Linked DNA regions of Elephas maximus indicus. The protein of the gene in region 2 interacts with the protein of the main gene of each other region in a pairwise test. Links are inferred from orthologs where the notes say so. Each region holds a gene or a part of one and is shown on either strand. Other genes may lie near its edges.

The links. The genes of interacting proteins can lie anywhere in the genome.
Region 1: the proteins of HSPB1 (region 2) and FXR1 interact in a two-hybrid assay, tested with the Homo sapiens proteins (2 studies listed by BioGRID and IntAct). The link is inferred for Elephas maximus indicus from reciprocal best matches to the Homo sapiens genes HSPB1 and FXR1.
Region 3: the proteins of HSPB1 (region 2) and PPM1A interact in a two-hybrid assay, tested with the Homo sapiens proteins (2 studies listed by BioGRID and IntAct). The link is inferred for Elephas maximus indicus from reciprocal best matches to the Homo sapiens genes HSPB1 and PPM1A.

What each region holds. Positions count from the first base shown.
Region 1 is NC_064819.1:34,108,912-34,115,895, forward strand, and holds the start of FXR1 (RNA-binding protein FXR1), read right to left. Parts: upstream 3,014-6,984; 5' UTR 2,998-3,013; intron 2,821-2,997; exon of another isoform or gene 2,812-2,820; 5' UTR 2,742-2,811; intron 2,333-2,741; exon of another isoform or gene 2,306-2,332; 5' UTR 2,267-2,305; coding exon 2,216-2,266; intron 1-2,215. UniProt on the Homo sapiens protein: mRNA-binding protein that acts as a regulator of mRNAs translation and/or stability, and which is required for various processes, such as neurogenesis, muscle development and spermatogenesis.
Region 2 is NC_064830.1:94,249,970-94,256,561, reverse strand, and holds HSPB1 (heat shock protein beta-1), read left to right. Parts: upstream 1-4,401; 5' UTR 4,402-4,521; coding exon 4,522-4,897; intron 4,898-5,534; coding exon 5,535-5,598; intron 5,599-5,721; coding exon 5,722-5,911; 3' UTR 5,912-6,075; downstream 6,076-6,592. UniProt on the Homo sapiens protein: Small heat shock protein which functions as a molecular chaperone probably maintaining denatured proteins in a folding-competent state. Plays a role in stress resistance and actin organization.
Region 3 is NC_064828.1:72,637,274-72,645,245, reverse strand, and holds the start of PPM1A (protein phosphatase 1A), read right to left. Parts: upstream 3,014-7,972; 5' UTR 2,861-3,013; intron 2,608-2,860; exon of another isoform or gene 2,269-2,607; intron 2,160-2,268; exon of another isoform or gene 2,058-2,159; intron 1-2,057. UniProt on the Homo sapiens protein: Enzyme with a broad specificity. Negatively regulates TGF-beta signaling through dephosphorylating SMAD2 and SMAD3, resulting in their dissociation from SMAD4, nuclear export of the SMADs and termination of the TGF-beta-mediated signaling.

The sequences.
Region 1 (6,984 bases), on a different chromosome or scaffold from region 2:
TTCCAGTGCAAATATCATTTTAGTACACACAATTGTGGCTAGGGTCCTTCCCTTTGAGTCATTCTACTCTCAACCTTTCCCAGAAAGCCACTTCACTTTGTTACATAAGATGGACCATGGAGTGAAAGTAAGTAGAACCAAGCAGTAGATCTGCACAGTATGGACAGAGATCAATAATAAATACTTCAGGATTCCAGAACGGGGACATTTGATTTACTGTTACTTGACAGGGGGGAAGAAACCCACCATGAGAAGCCAATCTACAAACAACCTTCACTAAACCATTCAAATTGATGACTTTAAATAATGAATACTACAAAACCAAAGAGAAAGAAAGTAAAAATGAAGAAAATCTTGGACAGCAGGCTATCAACATAATAAAACACATACACCTGACTAAAGTCGAAATGTGTTCTACCACCTACAGGCTGCAAAACAATTTGTTAAAGTAATGTGATCATTTTCTATTTTTAGGAATATGCAGGAAAAACGCATGAGAAAAATTCATCTATGACACAAGAAACATAAAGCCAAACATAAAGCCAAACAGTGATAATCTGAAACTTCTTCATGGGGGAAAAGTGTTGACATAAAATGATGAACCGCTCTGTCTATCCTTTATAGGAAAAGTATGGTGAGCCAATTCTTTGTCCACCGTGCCCCAACTAATCCTATTTTCAGTCGTTGAAAGAATGCAACCACTAGGTTTCAGAAAAAACTGAAGTCAATGAAATTATTCAAATTCCACTTAGGTCCTTTGTCTGACACCAAGTTTTATACCTAGACTGCTAATATAAGTAGTGTCATATTAACAGGTCATATTAATGACTCCTTTCCACCAGGCAGTCACTGCTTCTACTCTCACGTTGACCACCTAAGAAAATTTAAACTTAGAAAAAGCTTAAACGGATCCTTTATACGCCAGCTGTGACTCCCCACTATACTATTACCACGTGACAGTTAAACCAAATGCACGGAGCTAATCGGTAAACTCGGAAAGGAAAAACAAAACGCCGAAAACAGGAAAACATGACCACCAAAAATAAAGTCCCATGGGTAGGCCCAGTGAGAATTCCTTCTGCGTACGCACAGTGTTCTTGTATCAGGAGAAGGCCCTTCATAAAAATAGCCAGGGCTCTCAAACATTTGAGATGCTGGCTTAGTGAGAGTGACTGACAGACAGCAGCTGTAGAGATCTTGTATTGATCTTGTAACATCCTGGCATACTTAGGGAGAAACGGAGAATCGGAAAAAGGAGACATTGTAATGATGAAAATAAACTGTTTTAAGATTTCATTTCGCTGTCTGGCACCTACGCTGGCAGCCCCTACACTACACCAAACTCCCCTGCTCTGGAATCCCTCTCCGCCTCTTCCTGCCCCAATTCAGAGGAATGCCATCTCTTTCCTCCCAAAGGGAACCGGGGGAGGGGGGGAACTCGCGGAAAAAAAAACAAAAGACAACACCCTCCCTCCAAAAACACAAGAGTAACGGATACAGAGAAACGAGTATACTCCCCACCTGTCTCCCTGATCCGTTTCACATTTTGAAGTCTCACTTTAAAGCCTCGCTGGACTCTCTGCTTTTCTTCCGTTAACAGAGGGGCCGCGGCGCCGCCCCACTTCCCAGTCCGCAAAAATACTTCCCCGCCACATTTCGAGGTTTTCTAGTTTTCTCTTTCCGCTGCTAACCCGCAATTTGGTACCCTCTTTTTCCCCTTTAGAGACTGAAAAACTGGCCGGCCTGAAGCCCAACAGAAAGGTGGATTCCTAAGTCTCCGCGACGTCCTCCGGGTGTGGAGGGTCGGGGGCGCAGGCAGGGGCGCCCCCTCCGCCCAGAGCGAGCGCGGGGAGCGGCGGCCGCCACCACCCACCGCCCCCTCTCCCGGCTCCCACCGCCGGCGGTCGGGCCTGCCTCCACGGCGCTCGCCGCCTGCGGGCACCCACTCGGCCTGGCCTCGCCGGCCGCCATGAGGGAGGCCCGGCAGCAGGAGAAAGCCAGGAGGGTCCGACGTCTTGGAAAAACATAACGGAGCCCGGGACCCCGAGACCGTTAAACCGCGGGCCGAGGGGAGCTAAGCCAGGGGCCTGGCGGCCTTGAGCTTAGGCCTGGCCGCCCTTTGCGACCCCAGACCGCACTGCTGGAGACCGCCAACCTTCCCTCAGGCCCGCCCCAGCCCTCCGGAGACCCCGCCGAGCTGCAGAAAGGTCAGTACCTTGTAGAAAGCCCCGTTGGAGCCGCGAACCTCCACCGTCAGCTCCGCCATGTTGGAACCGCAAAGGCCGCCGGGAAGAGATTCTAGAAACTTTCCAACCAGAGGGGAAGAGGGGGGGAGGGCGTGAGGTGGCGGGGGGAGGGCGGGGAGGACAGGGCGGGGCTGGAATCCCGCGCCCCTGGGGTCTCGCCGCACAGCGTTGACTCTCCCGCTGGGACCCCGCGGCTCCTTACATCACCCGCCGCTGCTCCGCCCGCCGTCACCGCCCTGCAGGTTCCCGACACAATCGCCGACCTCCGCTGACCCGCGAGCGCCGCCCTCCCCGCTTCGTCCTCGGGTCGCGTCCACGTCCCCGTCCCGGTCCCAGACCCCGCCGTCCGCGTCCCCGGCCCCGTCCCAGACCCCGCCGTTCGCGTTCGCGTCCGCGTCCGCGTCCCCGTCCCCGGCCCCGTCCCAGGCCCTGTGCGCCGCACACCTTGGCACCCCACTGCCCCGGCACCCACCCCGGGCTTAGCCAGGCTGGTACCTCGGAAGTAGTGTCCTTGTTGCGGGAAGAGCAACTTTCTGGGCTCCAGACGCCTACTGGCACCGCGTTGCTGGGGGGAAGGGTGGCTAGAAATGTACATCCTATTGTGCTGCAAGTTCTTTAGCGCCCTGCCCCCCCTCCCTTTTTTTTTTTATTTGACGCCTTCTATTGACTGAATAGAAGGCCTCAAATTAACTGGCTCAAATTCCGCATTTCCACACCCCCTGGCACAGTCGGGCCAAGCCCTCTCCCCCACCTGTTACCACATCAGCTGTTCAAAAGCCAAACGTATTTTCAAAGGAGCTTAGATGTGTTCGGAGCCCTGGCGGCACAGTGGTTAAGCACTCACTGCTTACCGGAAGGCCAGCGGTTGGAATCCCCCAGCTGCTCCGCGGGAGGAAGGTGTGGCAGTCTGCTTCCTAAAGATTTACAGCCTTGGAAACCCTATGAGGGCATTTCTGCTCTGTACTATAGGGTCGCTGTGAGTTGAAATTGACTTGATGTGTTCAAACCCAAAGCGTGTTTAGGTTAATACCCGTTATTAGAAGGAGTCAGAGAAACCTAACAGAGGGGGAGGCTTCGTTTTCCTCTGCTCCAAGGGCTTGGGAAGTTCCATAAATGAGATCAAAGCAGAACCACCTCGTATGACTTCCTACTGGAACTTACGACAATACAAGCTCATAGTAAAACTTTTACCCAAAGCAAGGCTTTGGAAAGTATACTAGAAGGGCTTGTTTTTGTGTGTTGTATTACCATTTTGACAGAAAAATTCTAACTAAAAAAGGATGCTTTACTCACACTCTATATTCCCAAGAACATGCCCTCTGCACAGCCCTTTTGGAGGGAGGGTGGGCCTCTTCTGCATCTCCAAAGACTCCCAAAGGAAACGGTGCCTGGGAAGGTGCTCCATGTTGTGTTGCTATGTACATGCTATGCTTTTAAAAATGTTGATCACTGTGAGAAAAACATAAATACCCATCAATGAGTAATAGCCAACTTAAGGGCTTCTTCTATCCAACATTTATATACCATTTTCTTGTGATCCAAAATCATAATGCCCTAGTTTGCTTTTTTAAAAAACAGCTTTATGGAAGTAGAAATCTAATACCATACGATTCACCCATTGAAAATTCAGTGGCTTTTAGTGTTTTCAAGTTGCACAACCATCACCACAGTCAATTTTAGAATATTTTCATCACACCAGAAGGAAGCCCCTTACTGCTTAGCAGTCACCACCCATTTCCCCCAACCCTCTCTTCCCTATCTACCTTCTGTTTCCCCCAACCCTCCGTTCCCTAATCTACCTTCTGTCTCTATAGATTTTCCTACTCTGGGTACTTCATATGGATTTTCCTGCACTCTGAGCATTTCATATGAATGGAATCACACTGTGTGTGGTCCTTCCTGGCTGACTTTTTTCATTTGGCATAATGTTTTCAAGGTTCATCCATATTGTAGCATGTATCAGTACTTAATTCTTTTCATTGTCGAATATTCCATTATATGGATATACCACATTTTATTTATCTATTCATCAATTGATCAACTGATAGACTTTCCACTTTCTTGGCTATTAGGACTAATTCTGCTATGAACATGTTTGTACAAGTTTTCGTATGAATGTGTGGGTTTATTTCCTTTGGGGATATACCTAGAAGTGAAATTGCTGGCACCTACTGGAGCCATGGTGGTTAAGAGTTTGGCTGGTAACCAAAAGGTCAGCCGTTTGAATCCACCAGGTGTTTCTTGTAAACTCTGTGGGGCAGTTCTACTCTATCCTATACGGTCATTATGTGTCCAAATGGACTTAACAGCAATGGGGTTTTTTATTGTAACTTCATGTTTAACCTGCTGAGGAACTGCCAGACTCTTTTCCAAAGTGGATACACCGTTTTGTATTCCCACCATCAATGTATGAGAGTTCTAGTTTTGTTTTGGGGCTTCTTTTCTGTACTCTTCCTCCTCCTCCTTCTCTTCCTTCTTCTGTTTGTTTTGGCCTTCAGTGTATTGCTTTGTTTTGTTTCTCAGTGTGACTTGGGGTTGTGTTGTGAAAGCCTCATTAGGACACATGCCAAAGCATTACTGCCTGAACTCTGAAAATCAGGGTTCTTCCTCTTCAGGTCTTTCATACTGAAAGCATTTGAGTTGGACGCCCTGCCAATACCTTACTATCCCTTGCCAAGTAGACCTCATTATTTCCCTTAAGCAACTAAGGTTTGTAGCAACCAGTAACCTATCCAAGGTTACAAAAATTCTAAGTGGAGGAACTAGGACTTAAGTCCTCCATTATCTATCTCCAAAGCCCACCTCTTGATCAATGATTCTATCTGCTGCTCCATATGCTATTCATAATGGAACGTTAATAAACTTTAATATTTGGATATTGTTCTATTTTCATCATCTTGAAAATATGTCTATTATTAAAAGGAAAAGCAAGTCACAAAACATGCATAATCATGTTTAAAAAATATATGTGCAGATATGTGTATTTCTGTGCGTGTGCATGTGTGTATATATATACATACATACATACGTGTGTGTATATATGTATACACGTACGTTGTTGTTAGATGCCATTGAGTTGGTTCTAACTCATAGCAACTCTATGCAAACAGAACAAAACACTGTCCAGTCCTACACCATCCTCACAATTGTAGCTATGCTTGAGCCCATTGTTGCAACCACTGTGTCAGTCCATCTCATTGAGGGTTTTCCTCTTTTTTGATGACCCTCTACTTTACCAAGTATGATGGCCTTCTCCAGGCACTGATCCCTCCTGATATGTCCAAAGTATGTGAGACTTAGTCTCACCATCTTTGCTTCTAAGGAGCATTCTGGTTGTAGTTCTTCCAAGACAGATTTGTTCATTCTTTTGGCAGTCCGTGGTATATTCAGTATTCTTCCCCAGCAACCCAGTTCAAAGGCGTCAATTCTTCCTCAGTTTTCCTTATTCATTGTTCAGCTTTCGCGTGCATCTGAGATGATTGAAAACACCGTGGCCTGGGTCGGGCACACCTTAGTCTTCAAGGTGACATCTTTCCTTTTCAACACTTTAAAGAGGTCCTTTGCAGCAGATTTGCCCAATGTAATGTGTCTTTTGATTTCTTGACTGTTGCTTCCATGGGCATTGATTGTGGATCCAAGTAAAATGAAATCCTTGACAACTTCAATCTTTTTTGTGTTTATCACGATGCTACTTTTTCGTCCAGTTGTGAGGATTTTTGTTTTCTTTATGTTGAGGTGTAATCCATACTGAAGGCTGTGGTCTTTGAGCTTCATCAGTAAGTGCTTCAAGTCCTCTTCACTTTCAGCAAGCAAGATTGTGTCATCTGCATAATACAGGTTGTTAATGAGCCTTCTTCCAATCCTGATGCCCTGTTCTTCTTCATATAGTCCACCTTCTCAGATTATTTGCTCAGCAAACAGGTTGAATAGGTATGGTGAGAGGATACAACCCTGACTCACACCTTTCCTGACTTTAAACCATGCAGTATCCCCTCATTTTGTTTGAATGACTGCCTCTTGATCCATGTACAGATTCCTCATGAGCACAATTAAGTGTCCCAGAATTCCCATTCTCCACAATGTTATCCATAATTTGTTAGGATCCACACAATCGAATGCCTTTGCATAGTCAATAAAACACAGGTAAACATCTTTCTGGTATTCTCTGCTTTCAGCCAGGATCCATCTGACATCAGCAATGATATCCCTGGTCCTACATCCTCTTCTAAATCCGGCTTGAATTTCTGGCAGTTCCTTGTCGATATACCACTGCAGCTGCTTTTGAATGATCTTCAGCGAAATTTTGCTTACATGTGCTATTAATGATATCGTTGAGTAATTTCTGCATTCGGTTGAATCACCTTTCTTGGGAATAGGCATAAATATGGATCTCTTCCTGTCGGTTAGCCAGGTAGCTGTCTTCTAAATTTCTTGGCATAGACGAGTGAACACTTCCAGCACTGCATCCGTTTGTTGAAACATCTCAACTGGTATTCCATCAATTCCTGGAGCCTTGTTTTTCGCCAGTGCCTTCAGTGCAGCTTGAATTTCTTCCTTCAGTACCATCTGTTCCTGATCATATGTTATCTCCTGAAATGGTTGAACATCAACCAATTCTTTTTGGTATGGTGACTCTGTATATTCCTTCCATCTTCTTTTGAGGCTTCATTCATTGTTTAATATTTTCCCCGTAGAATCCTTCAGTATTGCAAGTCAAAGCTTGAATTTTTTCTTCAGT
Region 2 (6,592 bases):
GGGCCCGTGGGGACCCCCTACCCTCCTCCTTACCCACACAGCAGCTGGGAGGCTGGACAGGCTTTCCTATTTCCCATTTCCCTGGAAGTATTTTTCCATTTCTTCTAACGGTTTCTAACCGTTCACCTGCGACCCCAGACCCAGGACAACAAGACACAAGTGCATATGCCCAATTTGGGTGTCCCAGCCCTGAGCCAGTACCCCCATCCCTTCCCTCTCTGATATGCTTCTGGAAGCCCCCTGGCCTCCTGTCTGCCCCTCTCTCTCAGCTGCGGGAGTATTTAGCAAACCACTCCTATCACCAGACCCCCTCCACCTGTGGAGGGCTCTCAGGAGACCCAAGGCGTGGGGGTGCCCTGTCCCATGGCCCCATCTCCACAGCCTCTTGCTCACTTTCCAGGGCTCTCTCCCTTAGGCTGGAAGCCCAAATCCACCTCAGCACAGGAATCCCTTTCTCCTTCCAATTTTTCCAGTCTAGGGGGAATTCCTGGGCCCCCACCCCTGTTTCTTACCTTACTTTGGTTTAAAGGGACAGCAGCCCCAAGTCACGCCTGGCCTAGGCTCAGCTGGTCAACAGGGACGGGACATCCACATCTCAGGCCTGGTGAGTGTCTCACCTCCTCCCCTTACCCCTCAATCTCTGCCTCCATTTACCATGTACACCCCCCCTACGGCTGCAGCATTAGACTGCAGAGCAGGTAGGCAGGGCACTGGGGTAGGGAGGACCCTGGAGGAGCAACTGTTGCTTCCTGGCCCTGAAAGGAGTCTTACAGAACAGCCAGTCCAATGGTCTCATTGTGCAGATGAAGAAAATGAGTCACAGCAGCCGGCCCCTGGCCAAGGTCACAGAGTCAAAGACATCCCAGGTTCCCAGACTCCCATTTTTTCTGCTCCATGGAGAGGGGGTGGAAGGTGCTGGAAGATGGATCCCCAGCCCTCCCACCTGCTCCCTCCTAGTCCCCTTCAGCAGTGCTTGGGGAGGGATGACCCCTGGACAATTCAGAAGCCAGAGGCCTAGGAAGCAAGGCAGGCCAGAGATGGGTTTTTGCCCCAGAGGGGCAGTGTATAGAAGCTTCCAGAAAGACCCCGTGCCTGCCACCCCCATGCACTCTAATTACGGCTGCCTACATTTTCAGTTTCTGGCAGGCCCTGTGGCTGGTGCAATCGTCAGCTGTCAGGCCTCTCCAGGGAGCTCAGGCAGCTGCCTGAACACTCTGGAGCTTTCTTTGACCCTGAGCCAAAGAGGGAGGGGCCAGTTCAGCCACAGTTAACAAAGGCCTGCCAAGGGCATGGCTACTGTGGCCAGGGCCTCAGACATGGTGCAAAGGAGGCTGCTCAGGAGCACCCCAGACTTCAGGGCTAGGGAGGAGAGAAGGGGCTGTCTCGGATGCAGGAATGCCCAGACCATACAATAGGTAATGAAGCGGGGTAGGGCTAGCACCTGCCCTGTGGCTTCTGGAAAACCTCTGGGGGTGAGCACTGAAAAACTACCCTTGGCAGCTCAGCGCCCCAGGATGCCAGAGTCGGAGTCTCAAATTGTCAAAGAACAATCGGCCAGTCAGGGCTGACTTCCACCCCTTGCTCTGCTAACCAAGCCCTGTGGCAGGTGTCCGGTATCACCTCCTGAAGGAAGGATGCCTGGTCAGGGCTGGAAGGGACCCAGAGTGCCTGGCCCCACAAGGAACCCTTAGCTGCACACCCCACTCTGCACTCTGGGAGCCTACAACCCACAGCCCTTCCTGGGCTGCCTGGGAAGTCTCTTGACTGATGGGCAGGGAATCAAGAGGCCTGAGTTCCAATCCCTCCCCACCCTTCCCAGCTTTGTCACCTTGGGGCAATTCTGACCCTCAGTTTTCTCATCTGAATAACGGAACTCTGATAAGATACTTTGAAGTAGTAAAGCACATACATACAACTTCGTTGAAGTTGCAATGTCCAAAATTAAAGGCCAGGAGCACTTACTGAGCCCCAGGCCTGTAACAGGCTTTATTGCATTTGAGACTCACCACAACCCTGCAGGGTGGGCGCATTTATTATTTACCCCATTTGACAGATGGGACATGTGGGCCCAGAAAGACCACCAGTACCCAGATTCACTCCCAATCCCGTCTAACCCCCAAATGCAGTTTCCTACCCCCACCCCCATCTCGCCCAGCGCGGTGCTGCCCAGAGCCATCCATGTCCCTCCCTTGTGATTGACTGGATGATATGAAAGTTGTCCCTCAAGAACTGACCCACTGAAGATGGATATGCATTCTCAGCCCCCAGATCGGGGTGCTGTGGGGCCCCCTGGGTTGCACAACTTCCTCCTCCGGCTGGGCCAGCGGGGATGGACTCTCCACACCCTGGTTTCAGGTGAGATGAAGGGAGCGATGAACGGAGCTGTGTTCAAAGGGCTGGCAGCCAGCAGACGGCCCCCACCCAAAGGGCGTCTGGGCCTGGCAAGGCTGCACTTGAAAGCATCCTGACCACACCTGACAGCTCCCTCTAGGGTGGGGTGCCCTGGGCTCCAGTCTGGGCCAAGGTGGACAGGCAGGGGCAGATGAGGCCCTCCCTGGTTCCTGATCTCATCTCTGTTTTATAGAGCTAGGGATAGGTGGGGCTGGACATGCTAGGGAGCAAAGGCCTGGGCTTCCTGAAGCTGAGACCCTTGGGGGGCGGCCAGTAGCTCCCAGCAGAAACCCACTGGGCTTATGACATGATCCAGCAAGAGAAATGGGGCAGAAGTCAGGAGTCCTGCCTGCCTCCCACCCTGGGCTCTCCAGACCCCCGGAGCTCAGAGGCCTTTCCAGAGGTGGCCTTGGCTTCGGGGCCCAGTCCTGGCTTTTCCCCGATGAGCAGCAGGGAGGTAAGAAAGAGAGGTGTCTGTGTGCTCTCTTTCAAAGAGGAAACCGAGGCTCAGAGAGGGCATGAGACTTGTGGCCACCCCCAGCCCATCAAGATGAGCAACCTCGAGTCCTGGCTCCCATTCTCTCAGGTATGCCTGGAGTCTGGGCCTGGCCAGGGCAAGGCCTTAGTGGCCTTGGTATAGGTCCCCTATAGACCTGGCAAGAGGAGGGCCTCAGCCCCAGCATAAGGGTAGCAAGTAGAATGGGCTGGGAAAAGAGGGACCAGAGGACCCCAGGGCAGGAGCCCCACAAGGGTAAGAGCCCTGGATACTAGGAGGCAAGAGGTCTGGCTCTGTTAGTGTTTCAAGTGGACTCCAACTCATGGAGACTCAGTGTGTGTCAGAGTAGAACTCTGTTTCATAGGGTTTTCCAATGGCTGATTTTTTTGGAAAGTAGGTTGCCAGGCCTTTCTTCTGAGGCTCTTCTGGGTAGACTCGAACCTCTAATCTTTAGGCTGGCTGTCAAGTGTGTTAACCATTTGTACCACCCAGGGACTCCATCTATCACCTAGAATCCCTCTTTCCCTTTGTGCTGTGGGAATCAGATACAAAAGGGGGTTTGAAATCATAAGATGCAAAAGGACAAACTGAGGCTACAGAAAGGAGGTGCTTTGCCCCAAATTACACAGTAAGTCAACGACAAAGCCCAGACTAGATTCCAGATTGCTGCACTTCAGGTTCCCTGTCCAGTGCTCCTTGAGAAACAGATATAACAGGAGATTTGGCAATAAGCTTCCCCCACCACCACCCTCTCAGGACTAGACCTGGGGGTTTCTAAGCTGGGCCAGCCCAGTTTACTAGGGGCAGGGAAGAATGTCAAACCCACACATGCCAGCTCCTCTGCCACAGGGCTGGGGTGTGGAGAGAACAGACTTGTACACACTATCCTTCCTCTGGGTTTTTTTTTTCATCCTTCCTCTTCCCTCTTGTGCATTTCAAGTAGATAATAATAATAATATTAACAATCATTAGGTACCAGGCCCTAAGGCCTGGCACTAAGCCACAGAAGCCTTCATTATTATAAGCATTATTATTACATCATCTCCATTTTCCAAATGGGGAAACTGAGGCACAAAGAATCTCATTTGCCCAAACTAATACAATTAGGGGCAGAACCAAGATGTGCATTCAGGCAGAACCAGAGTCTGGTTCCTAACGACCACACCAGATTGTTTCTTAAGGCATTGTATCACAGACACAGTGTGGTTCAAATCCTGCCTCCGCTGCTTACTAGTTGTGTGGCCTGGGACAAGTAACTCAAACTCTCTCGGCTTGTCCTCCTTAACAAAAGAGTGGGACTGTCCACTGACCGCAGCTCAGAGCTTTAGCGCCCAGGCCTGCAAGTGTCCGGCCAACACTAGTACGTGCGCTCCAGCCCTTTTTTTTTTTTTTTTAACAACAGAAGGTTCCCGATGTGGGCAGGGCCTTCCTCGCCTCACCCCCGCCCCCGCTCCCGCCCCCGTTGGAGGAATGCAGGAGGAGGGACAGACCCCAGCCAGTCATTGCCATTAATAGAGACCTGAAACACCGCCTGCTAAAAATATCCGGTTGGAGACCCATAAAAGCCCTAGCGGGGCCAGCCGCCCCACATTCTCCGAACTTCAGCCAGACGCATCCAACCGAGCTGAACCAGCATGACTGAGCGCCGCGTGCCCTTCTCGCTCCTGCGGAGCCCCAGCTGGGACCCTTTCCGCGACTGGTACCCGCTCCACAGCCGCCTCTTCGACCAGGCCTTCGGGCTCCCCCGGCTGCCCGAGGAGTGGTCGCAGTGGTTCGGCCACAGCGGCTGGCCGGGCTACGTGCGGCCGCTCCCTGCAGCCGCGGTCGAGGGCGCCGGGCCCGTGGCCGTGGCCGCGCCTGCCTACAGCCGCGCGCTCAGCCGGCAACTCAGCAGCGGCGTCTCGGAGATCCGGCAGACGTCCGACCGCTGGCGGGTGTCCCTGGACGTCAACCACTTCGCCCCCGAGGAGCTGACGGTCAAGACCAAGGACGGCGTGGTGGAGATCACCGGTAAGGCCCCGCTCCCCTGCAGGCGGACGAAGTTAGTATGGCGAGAGCGGGCCTCCTGACTTAGCCAGCCTGGGGTGAAGAACTAGGCCGGGTTGGGGGGGGGGGGGCGGTTGAAGGAGTGGGCGCGGGGCCTGTGGGTTCGAAGTTAGAAGTAGCCAAGGACCAGGAGCTGAGCCGCCTGTCATGGCCACTCCTCCCGTCTGTTTCGCCTTCTATATTAGGGGGTAGTTCCTCAGGGCCCTTTCAGCTCTAAAAACGGCCTGTTTAGGGAAGAAACACCCCTTCCATCGTCAACTCCCAGCCCCACTCCCCAAATAATCAGGCTTTCCTGCGCCCCACCGTGCTGCGCCGCACCCGGCGTGCTGTTGGCATGTAGCGGCGGGGACGGTCCCGGCGCTGCCCCTGCCCGAGTCTCTGCTGGGGGCGTGCAAGTGCTCAAGCGCCTGCAAGGCCCCGCGAGCTGGCGCAGTGCCCCCACGGTCCAAAAGACCGGAACGAATTTTCCAGGACTTTCTGAGAGAGGGCCCGGGAGAGGCGGGTCCCCCAAACCCCTAAGTCCATCAGCGTCTGCCTTGCGCCCCAGCCACGCCAGGGCAGGTGGCGGGGCCCCTGGTTCATGACTACCCCCTCCCCACAGGCAAGCACGAAGAGCGACAGGACGAGCACGGCTACATCTCCCGCTGCTTCACCCGGAAATACACGTGAGTCCTGGCCCCAGATTGTCCCGGAGATGGGGTGAGGGGGCTCACGGGAGGGAAGGGGCTGGGTGGAAGGCCGCGGTGCCTACCCTGTGTAACTCTTGGCCTCTCTCTTTGCATGCCCAGGCTGCCCCAGGGTGTGGACCCCACCCTGGTCTCCTCCTCCCTGTCCCCTGAGGGCACACTCACTGTGGAGGCCCCGATGCCCAAGCCAGCCACCCAGTCTGCCGAGATCACCATTCCTGTCACCTTTGAGGCACGTGCCCAGCTTGGGAGTCCAGAAGCTGGGAAGTCCGAGCAGCCTGCTGCCAAGTAAAAGTCTCGACCTTGCTGCCCAAACACCCCCACACCCCAGTAGCCATCGCTGGCCATCCCCACTCACCAATCTGTATGCTCTTTTGATACGTTTACCTTCAGTTTTTCTCAAATAAAGTTCGAAGCAACCGCCAGGTGCAGCCTCAGACTCTGGTGTTTGTGGAGGGCTGTTGTGGGGGGGGGTTAGTACCCTGCACACTCACACACACACACACACTCACACATTCATTGAAATTGCTGAGGGGCTACCGGGAGCCAAGCCCTGGGGATATAGTGTATATGTGACAGGACACAGCCCTGTCTTTAAGCCCCATGACCATTAAGAGAGAGGTAATGTTTTTTTTAATGGCTGTAACTAGACAAAACCTCAAGGGCCAGGTGCGGGACAGGGAAAACCAGGAGGGGCAATTGACTCTGGCTTTCAAACTCAGGAACATAAAGACAACTAGCCTGGGGTCAGGTGAAGGGGGACAGAGAAGGGCTGGGGGAGGGGAGCGACCTGGGAGCTCAAAGTTCTTTCCTGACCACATTATCCTCCAGAGAGGGGCAGGACCATGCAGAAAGTGTGGCAACTCCAAAGTGGCTTTCTGAGGGGGGTGGGGTGGTAGCCTCAACAAAGCACCTAATCCTCTGGCCCCCATGCCCAGAAATGCAGGCTGGGACCTGCAGAGAGTGAAGTGAA
Region 3 (7,972 bases), on a different chromosome or scaffold from region 2:
AAACCAGAATCAGCTATACATTCTGAGCCATTACAATAAAGCCTAGGTTTAATCGGAACAAATTCAAAGACTACAGGTTTTTAGTTAAGTGCTGAGCAATATTTACCATGTGACATAATGATGTTGCTATAGATTTGTTATATACTCTATCCTACAGAGTCGCTATTGAGTTGGAATCTACTTGAGAGCAATGGGTTTGGATTTGGTTTATAGGTTTTTTTGGAAAAAAAAAATCAGGCACTAGGAACAAATTTTCAAATGAAGGTTTAGTAAGTCAAGATAAGCAAGACCGAGCATGAACTGTCAGCAAAACTCTTACAATGTCCTTCATATCAAACTACCCAGGGCAGAGCACTTGTTCAAACCTGTTGTCTTAGCTATCTTTTGTCCCTCGGAATCTCTGTCCTTTCTCCCAGGAGTTTCTTCCCAATCTCAACAGAGAAATCAATAAAGTTTATTTACTAGAGTATCTTTCCTAACAAACACTGAACAACTTAAAGTTCTCTTAAATAAAACACAACCCAGAAAGAAAATCAGCTTTAGAATGTTGAAGCATCTAAGTGCCTAGTACGTACCAGGCATTTGGTCATAGTACATTGAATGTCGGACACACAATGTTGACGCCAAAAAAAAAAGAAACCAAACTGGTTGCCCATCAAGTCGATTTCAACTCAGCACCCCTACAAGACACAGGAGAATTGCCCCATAGGATTTCCAAGGAGTGGCTGGTGGATTCAAACTGCCAATCTTTTGGTTAGCAGCCAAGCTCCTAACCACTGTGCCACCAGGGCTCCATAATGTTGATGAGAGAATAAAAAATTTAACATTTGATAAATAAAATAATCTGCCCCTTTCACTTTAGGGTTTTTGGAAACCGAGAATCAAAAGGTTAAAGGACTTGTCCATGGACACAGATTATTTTGGAGCACAGCCATGACTAAACAATTCTTGCCTCCTAGTAGTGTCCCCTTCAAAAGATCATACTGACTAAAAAAAAAAAAGATCATACTGTAAGTATAGTCACCACTTCTACCCTTCATACTAAATATAAAAAGATACAACCCATGTAAAAAGCAATGTTGATGACTCTGGCACTCAACCATAGTATTTCTCAAATATAACACAGATTGAAGTAGCTAACTTCAAACTATTAGTCTTAATATACAGCTCCACATAATTACTTCACACAAAATTACTTCACTGATGAGGAAAATGTTTATCAAATAAAAAATGTCTTAAGCAACTTCCATGTGCAGTTCATTATAATTTTAATAATGTGGTATTTGCTGTAAACTTGCAGGTTAAAACTAATCATTCCAACATGACTGAATGTTTAACCAGATATACGCGAGTTACACATAAGAACAGAACTATAATTTCATGAAACAAATGTTACTGTGTGCTTCAAATTACTTATTGGCAAAAGAAACATTAAGTAATTAACATCCAGGGTTAGAAAACTGGGGGGGAGGGGAGGAGGAATGAAAGTTTCAGAGAGTGGTCACTATCTTCTTACTCTTATTTTCTCTTCTGTAAAGTTACAGAAATACAATCTTTGGAAGAGGCCCAATATTAAAAAGATAAAAATATAAAAGTGAAGTTGTTCCAGTTAAAAAGGGAGTTAGGGACCAAGCTCTGCCAGCTGGACTCCTGAGAGCTCTGAAGCCCCTAAGGCTCAGCAGAGTACTGTTTAAATAAATAAATTCTCTGTCTCTTCAGCGCTCTCTGTACTTGAAACATGGTTGTGTTTAAAACCAGAACGTGCAAGTCTGAAAAGTTTTTAGATTTTTTTCGTAAGAACAATTAAAAAAATTTCTAATCTCTTTCAATAATCTCAAAATCATTTATTCTGGGAAAGAAATACACATCTCCCATGGATTTTTACACTTCCCATACTCTTTCAATAACTTCTTAAAACACAGTCTGCTCATTATTCCAATTAGCAGAAAACTTGGGACCGGGGGCGGCGCATATGTTTCCTGGCTTGGACAACTGAAGCACGACCTTTGCGGATTTGTAAGTACCATGTGGTGCTGGAGAAGAGAGAACGAAAATACCTCAGGTGATGAAATTTCCAAAAGATATCTAAAACTGCAGTTGGTAGAAGGCTCTCCACAGCCAGCTGTCTTTCAAGAAAAGGCTCCAAGTTTATTTAAAATCTACAAAGCAGAAGAGAACCATACCTTAACCAAGCTCTAACACTAAGAACTTTTACCCAAACAATTTCCACGATTAAAAAGACGAGGAGGAAAAATCAGTATAATTTACTTCAATGATTCGGTTCGATGTCTTAACATGAATGAATTGGAGGCGTCACCGACTCGAGTTCTGAAGCAGCCTCACTCTCAGCCCTGCTCCCTATAAAGCCTGAAGCAAATCCCCCAGAATCTGGTGTTTCGAGGGCTAGTCCGGTCCAAAGGACGCCTCTCCCTTTCTTCCTCCCGGCCTCCCTCCCAGGGGCTGGAGCCCAGGGCAGCGCGGCCGGGTGGGGGGGCGGCAGCCGCGAGGCCCGCTCCTCGCTCCGAAAAAGTTCCGCCGGCCGCTCTCGGGCCAGGCCGACCCGCGGCCCCCGCCCGCACGGCCGCCGCAAACACCCCGCCCGGGCCGTGGGAGGGTCGCGCTCCCTCCCAGCGCCGCCACCACAAACACCCCGCCCCCGCCCTCGCGGAGCGTTAACCCCTCGGCGCCCGCCGCCTGGCTCCGGGAAGGAGGCCGGCCAGGGGGTGGAGTTGTCGCGTCTCCTCTCGGGAGCGCCCGGGCAGACGCCCGGCTTGTTTACAGGCCCCAGGCCTGGCCGCGCCGCCGCTGCGCAGGCCCGCGCCGCTCGCCCGCCCGCCTTCAGCCCGAGCGCCGCGCTTACCCGGAGCAAGCCGCGGACTGGCAGGTCCCTGGTCGGCCGAGGCGGCGGCGGCAGCCGGGGGAGGGGCGGGGAGGGGGTCACCTCGGCGGCGGTCCGCCGGGTCAGGCAGGGGAGGGGGCGGAGGCGGGGAGGAGCCGGGCTGCGTCCGGGCCCCCGGCTCTCGGCGCCCTCGCGGCTCAGATCATCCGGGCGTTGGAGCGGGAGACGGAGAGCGGGTCCCGGAGAAAGAGGAGGAAGACCCGAGGATTCATCGCGTTCGCGCCCCACCTGCCTGGCGCCCCCCCACCCCCCACCCCGGCCACCCGTTCCGGAGCCGTAGGCGCCCGAGCTCCCAAAGCTCCGGGCCGGGCCGGCGCCGAGACCACTGCTCCCTCGCTCCCGCGCGCGCTCCCGTCCCCAGCGCCGCCGCTGTCTCTAGCGCGCCCCCGCGCAGGCGCGCTCACGACGGAGCCGCGCTGCCCCTCCCCCGCCCCGTGCCGCCCCGCCCCGCCGCCGCTACAGCTGCGGCGCGGCGGAGCAGCTGGAGAGACCCGGATGTCGTTGGGCAGGAACTGCGGCTAGCGCCGGTGGGAGGGGGAGGGGGAGGGGGAGGGGGAGGGGCGGCCCTGAATGACGTCACTACCATGCTTCGCCTGCCGCTGCTGCCACCTCCCCACCGAGGCTCCAGGCCGAGGCCGAGGGGAGCGTCCGGATTCCGGATAGGAACTGGGACCGGAGCTTGAATGGAATGTGCTACTCTTCGGGCCCGGTGGATTCGAGAGCCTTTCAAAGCCCGGCTTTCGGCCCTAGGGGATCTCGGAAGAGCCCCCCAGGGCGGCCGCACCTCCTCTCCTGGAGTTTCCACCTGTCTGCAGATGCACGCCCCACTCCCTGCCCCTCGACAGTCCCTGCTGAGACGCCGCCCACGGAGTCCCAAGGACTGACCTCGAGCTTTCCACCCTTCTCTGATTTAGTCGCGGCCTGGCCACTGCTCTTAGGACGCTCGTTTGGTCTCGTGCCCCAACCAGACCCCCTTCCCCGGTGCCCCGGTTTTCACAGAGCCATCCTACCCCAGGTGACCCAGGGAGGCCCACGGTGGTGCCACGGCCAAACACCTCGCTCTCCAAAGAGCAAGAACACACACACCCTACCACCACCCACCCACACTCGGGTGCAACTTATTCACGCACGGGGCACGTGTTCTGAGTTTCTGGCAGGTTTTCAGTTTGTAACTCATGGGATTCCACATTCGCACATGCTAGACATAACGTTATTCTGTAACAGGGGACCTACAACGACCTCCTTTGGGGTTAAGAAACGGAGGGTTCAAAATCCGGAGAATCAGAAGCGTAACAGCTGTTTCTATTAAGAATTAGAGATGAGCTAAACTTAGTTGAAACTGCACGTGCAGATGGCTAAAATCCAGTTCAGCTAGCTAGACTTCAGAAAATGTGACCCACGCTACTTGCAGACGCTGGGGGTAGAATGACAAACCTTAGGTGGCCAATGAATCAGAACTAAGAGCAATACATCACCAGCACGTTCCCATTGGCTGTGGCGCCTTTCTCTTGTTGGAGGATTAACCGGTTAGTGGGTTTCATCTACACCACTTTTGCAGTCACAGAAGTTTAAAAGAAAAATCCGTGGAGCTTTAAAAGATGCTTTGGTGTATGCAAAGAAAAATCAAATACTTCGTTGTAGGAGGGAGGTACTCTAAAAAGAACACCTGAAAATATTAGTCAAATTGAGCCCTGGCCAATAGGAAAGTAAGTTTGTGGTGAGGCCTTTCCATTTTATCTCCGGAGCTTACTGTAGCATTTTGCACCCTGGTACTCTTTATCTCCTAAAACCACTTTGTTGCCTCAACTCTTAGATCAAAAGAGAGTTATTTATTATGTCATTCTGTCATTCAGCTAGCATTATTTAGCTGCTTTTAAAGTTGTAAGAGCCCTGTCTAATTTTTTCAATTTGTCTTTTGTGGGAAGGTTCTGTGCCTTCCACTTTTAGACCTGGGACCTAACTACAGCAACAACAGTATCAAACAGTATTGCCAAATGGTCACTGACTGGTCAAATCTCCAAGGAACCCCAAAATCACTCTACCCAATATTTTTGGGTTTGAGATTTCTTAGAGTAAGATGAAGATGGATCATTTCCAGATATGCAAAGTAAAAAAATTCACTTATGCATTTGATCCCATCTGAGGACACATTTCCTAATTACTTCTCCACACACCTGCCAACAAAAGAAATTGGAACGAAGATCTTCGAAATTCTGCCCTACTGAAATCCTTAATACGTCAGACAAGTAATAGCACAATTAGCATGATGGTGGAGTCGTTATCACTCTGAAATAGAAAAGCCCATGTGGCAACCATGATTTGGCATGCTCTTAAAAAAAAAAACTAATTTTCTTATTCATGAGGTAGAAGCTGGTTCATCAACGGCAGTAGTGGGCCACAGAGAACTTGAAGGTCTTGCCCATCTTTCTGTGCCCTTCCTTTAGGTTTCCACCCCTTTCTTTTCTCTGCTCTACACTTATAGAAGGATCTGGCCAAATTGTAGCAGAAGTGGGAGAAAAATAGAAAATACGAGCACAGAGAGATTTATAAGTAATCTTCACAGTGTACCACAGACTACCAATAAACCTGCACCTTCCTGTTATTTATTTCTGGATACATTTTGGTATGAACTAAAAAACTCATGAATTATAAGATTAACGTTGTAAAATTCAGAACAAAAGTGTCAATAGTTTCTGATTAAATATGCTTGCTATTATAATATCCCTGTCATTAAATCTCATACTAAGGAAAAATTTTAAATATTTAGAAGGAAAAAAATTGAAAAAGAGTTAAAGGGTTTTGTTTGTTTTTCTCTTTTCAGCCTTGTCTGGGTGTTGTACACATATTTGGGCTCTTCATAGTAAGTTTTTGTGGAACATCAAAAACCAAACCAAAACCATTGCTGTTGAGTTGATTCCGACTCATAGCAACCCTATAGGGCAGAGTAGAACTACCCCCATAGGGTGTTTCCAAGGCTGTAAATCTTTATGGAAGCAGACTGCCACATCTTTCTCCCATGGTGGGTTTGAACTGTTAACCTTTTATTTGGTCTGCAGTGGAATGCTTAACCACTGTGCCACCAGGGCTCCTTTGTGGAACATCAGTAGGGTATATATTGCCATAACTGTATTTTAGTAATTTTTATAGATATAAAACTATGCTACTCTGCTTTAGAAATCTGTTTGAATTTCATTTAACAGAAAATATTTCTGAAAGTTGGCTTTAATGTCCTGAATTTAACTTGGTGCTATTAACCTAGTAATTGAGACGTTTGGGGTAAGGACAGGGTTTGTGGTGGAGAGTATAAAAACTTAAACTGGTCAGCAATACTCTCTTCCCCTTTTCTCACAACCATGACTTAAAGAAGAGGTTTACACTCTTTGTTGCCAAATTACTATAGTGAAAGCACCCAGGAGAATCATCCTGAGACAGCCTTGCCTGGGCCTCTCAAAACAATCTCAGCAATTTAAGTGACCTCTGGCGGGGGGGGGGGGGGGGGGGGGCGGAGACCTAGAATCCCCTTCACCTGAGCCATCCATCCATTCACACCAAAGCCAGTTAACTACCCAAGAGTTACAAAGCCAAGCAGAACAGCTTCGAGTCTTCCTACCTCCTGCTCTTTCACTACGTGTTTCACGCCTTTTTCTCACACACATCTTCTTCAGTTGTCTTTCTCTTCTCTCTTTTCTCTTCCTTATCGCTCTTCTCATTTTCTTCTGTTCACTCTCCATCTTCTTCACCTTTCTTTTCCCCATTCTTCTATTCTCTCTTTTTTAGCTTAGTCCAAATTACGGCATCTGCTCCCCACTCGCTCCTGGAGTAGTACATGTGAACTGATAATGCCCCCAAACTAATTTTGTTTGGGGGGTGTGAGCCCCCCCATCCTAGTGCTCCTTCCTCCCTCCCCCCCAACCATATCGTATCATGAAAAACTTAGCTGTTTAGAAGATTGTCATAGAATGATAAGGATTAGAGAATCTAGTCCTGTGTGACATCACTGGGGCACCCCCAGGCTGCACTGTGGCCCTTCCTAAGCCCTGAGCAACTTATTATGAAACATGGGCTACTATGAGGGCCACAGTTGAAGTCCTAGATGGTTTTTAAGTTAGGCTGTCGCATTAAGATAACCATGTATGTATGTCCACAGCCTTACAACATTGGTGTGCATCTTGTTAGACAAGTTCATCTGTTCAACAGATAGTTATTGTATACCTGGTGTTGTGCTGGATGCTGGGGGTAGATAATGACATCAGTGGGCAAGATCCCAGCCCCCAAGGAGCTGACGTTAGAGTGGAGGATACAAAGAAGTAAATAAATAAACAAGAAAATTACAGATTGTGATCAGTGCTGGGAAGGAAATAAATATGGAAATAGATGAGAAGAAGTTTTGAAGCGGATGTTCAGGGCAGATCTTTCTAAGGAGATAGCATTTGAACTGAAGGATGAGAAGGAGTCAGCTCTGCAAAGAATCAGGGGAAAGCTTTCCAGGAGAGGGATCAGCGTGGGCAAAGGGCCTGAGGTAGGAAAGAGAGTGCCAGAAAAGAATTATTCATACAACCTAGGAGAAGCACACCAAACCCAAGGTAAATTTTTTTTAATTGTCAAGAATATGTATATAACATAGCAGCTGCCAATATAACATTTTTCAGATGTACAATTTAGTGATATCCGTTACATTAATCGTTTTGAGCAGCCATACCCATAATCATTGCCAAATTTCCTATCACCATAAACAGAAGCTCACTGTTTCTTAAACAGTGGGTCCTCCTTTCCCCCTCCCTCTCGCTCCTGGTAACCACTGATAAACTTTGGTCTCTATACATTTTTCAAGGCAAATTTTTATAAAGTCACAAAAGTTTAGATGGAGTTTCAGTTTAGGATAACCCATTGCTGTCAAGCTGATTTCAACTCACAGCCATCCTATAAGAGAGTAGAGCTGCCCCATAGGGTTTCCAAGGAGTGCCTGGTGGATTCTAACTGCCGACCTTTTGGTTAGCAGCTGAACACTTAACCAGGTCTCCTCAATTTAGGATACTGGGGATATTTACTCCAACTTAAAATTAAGAAACCGCC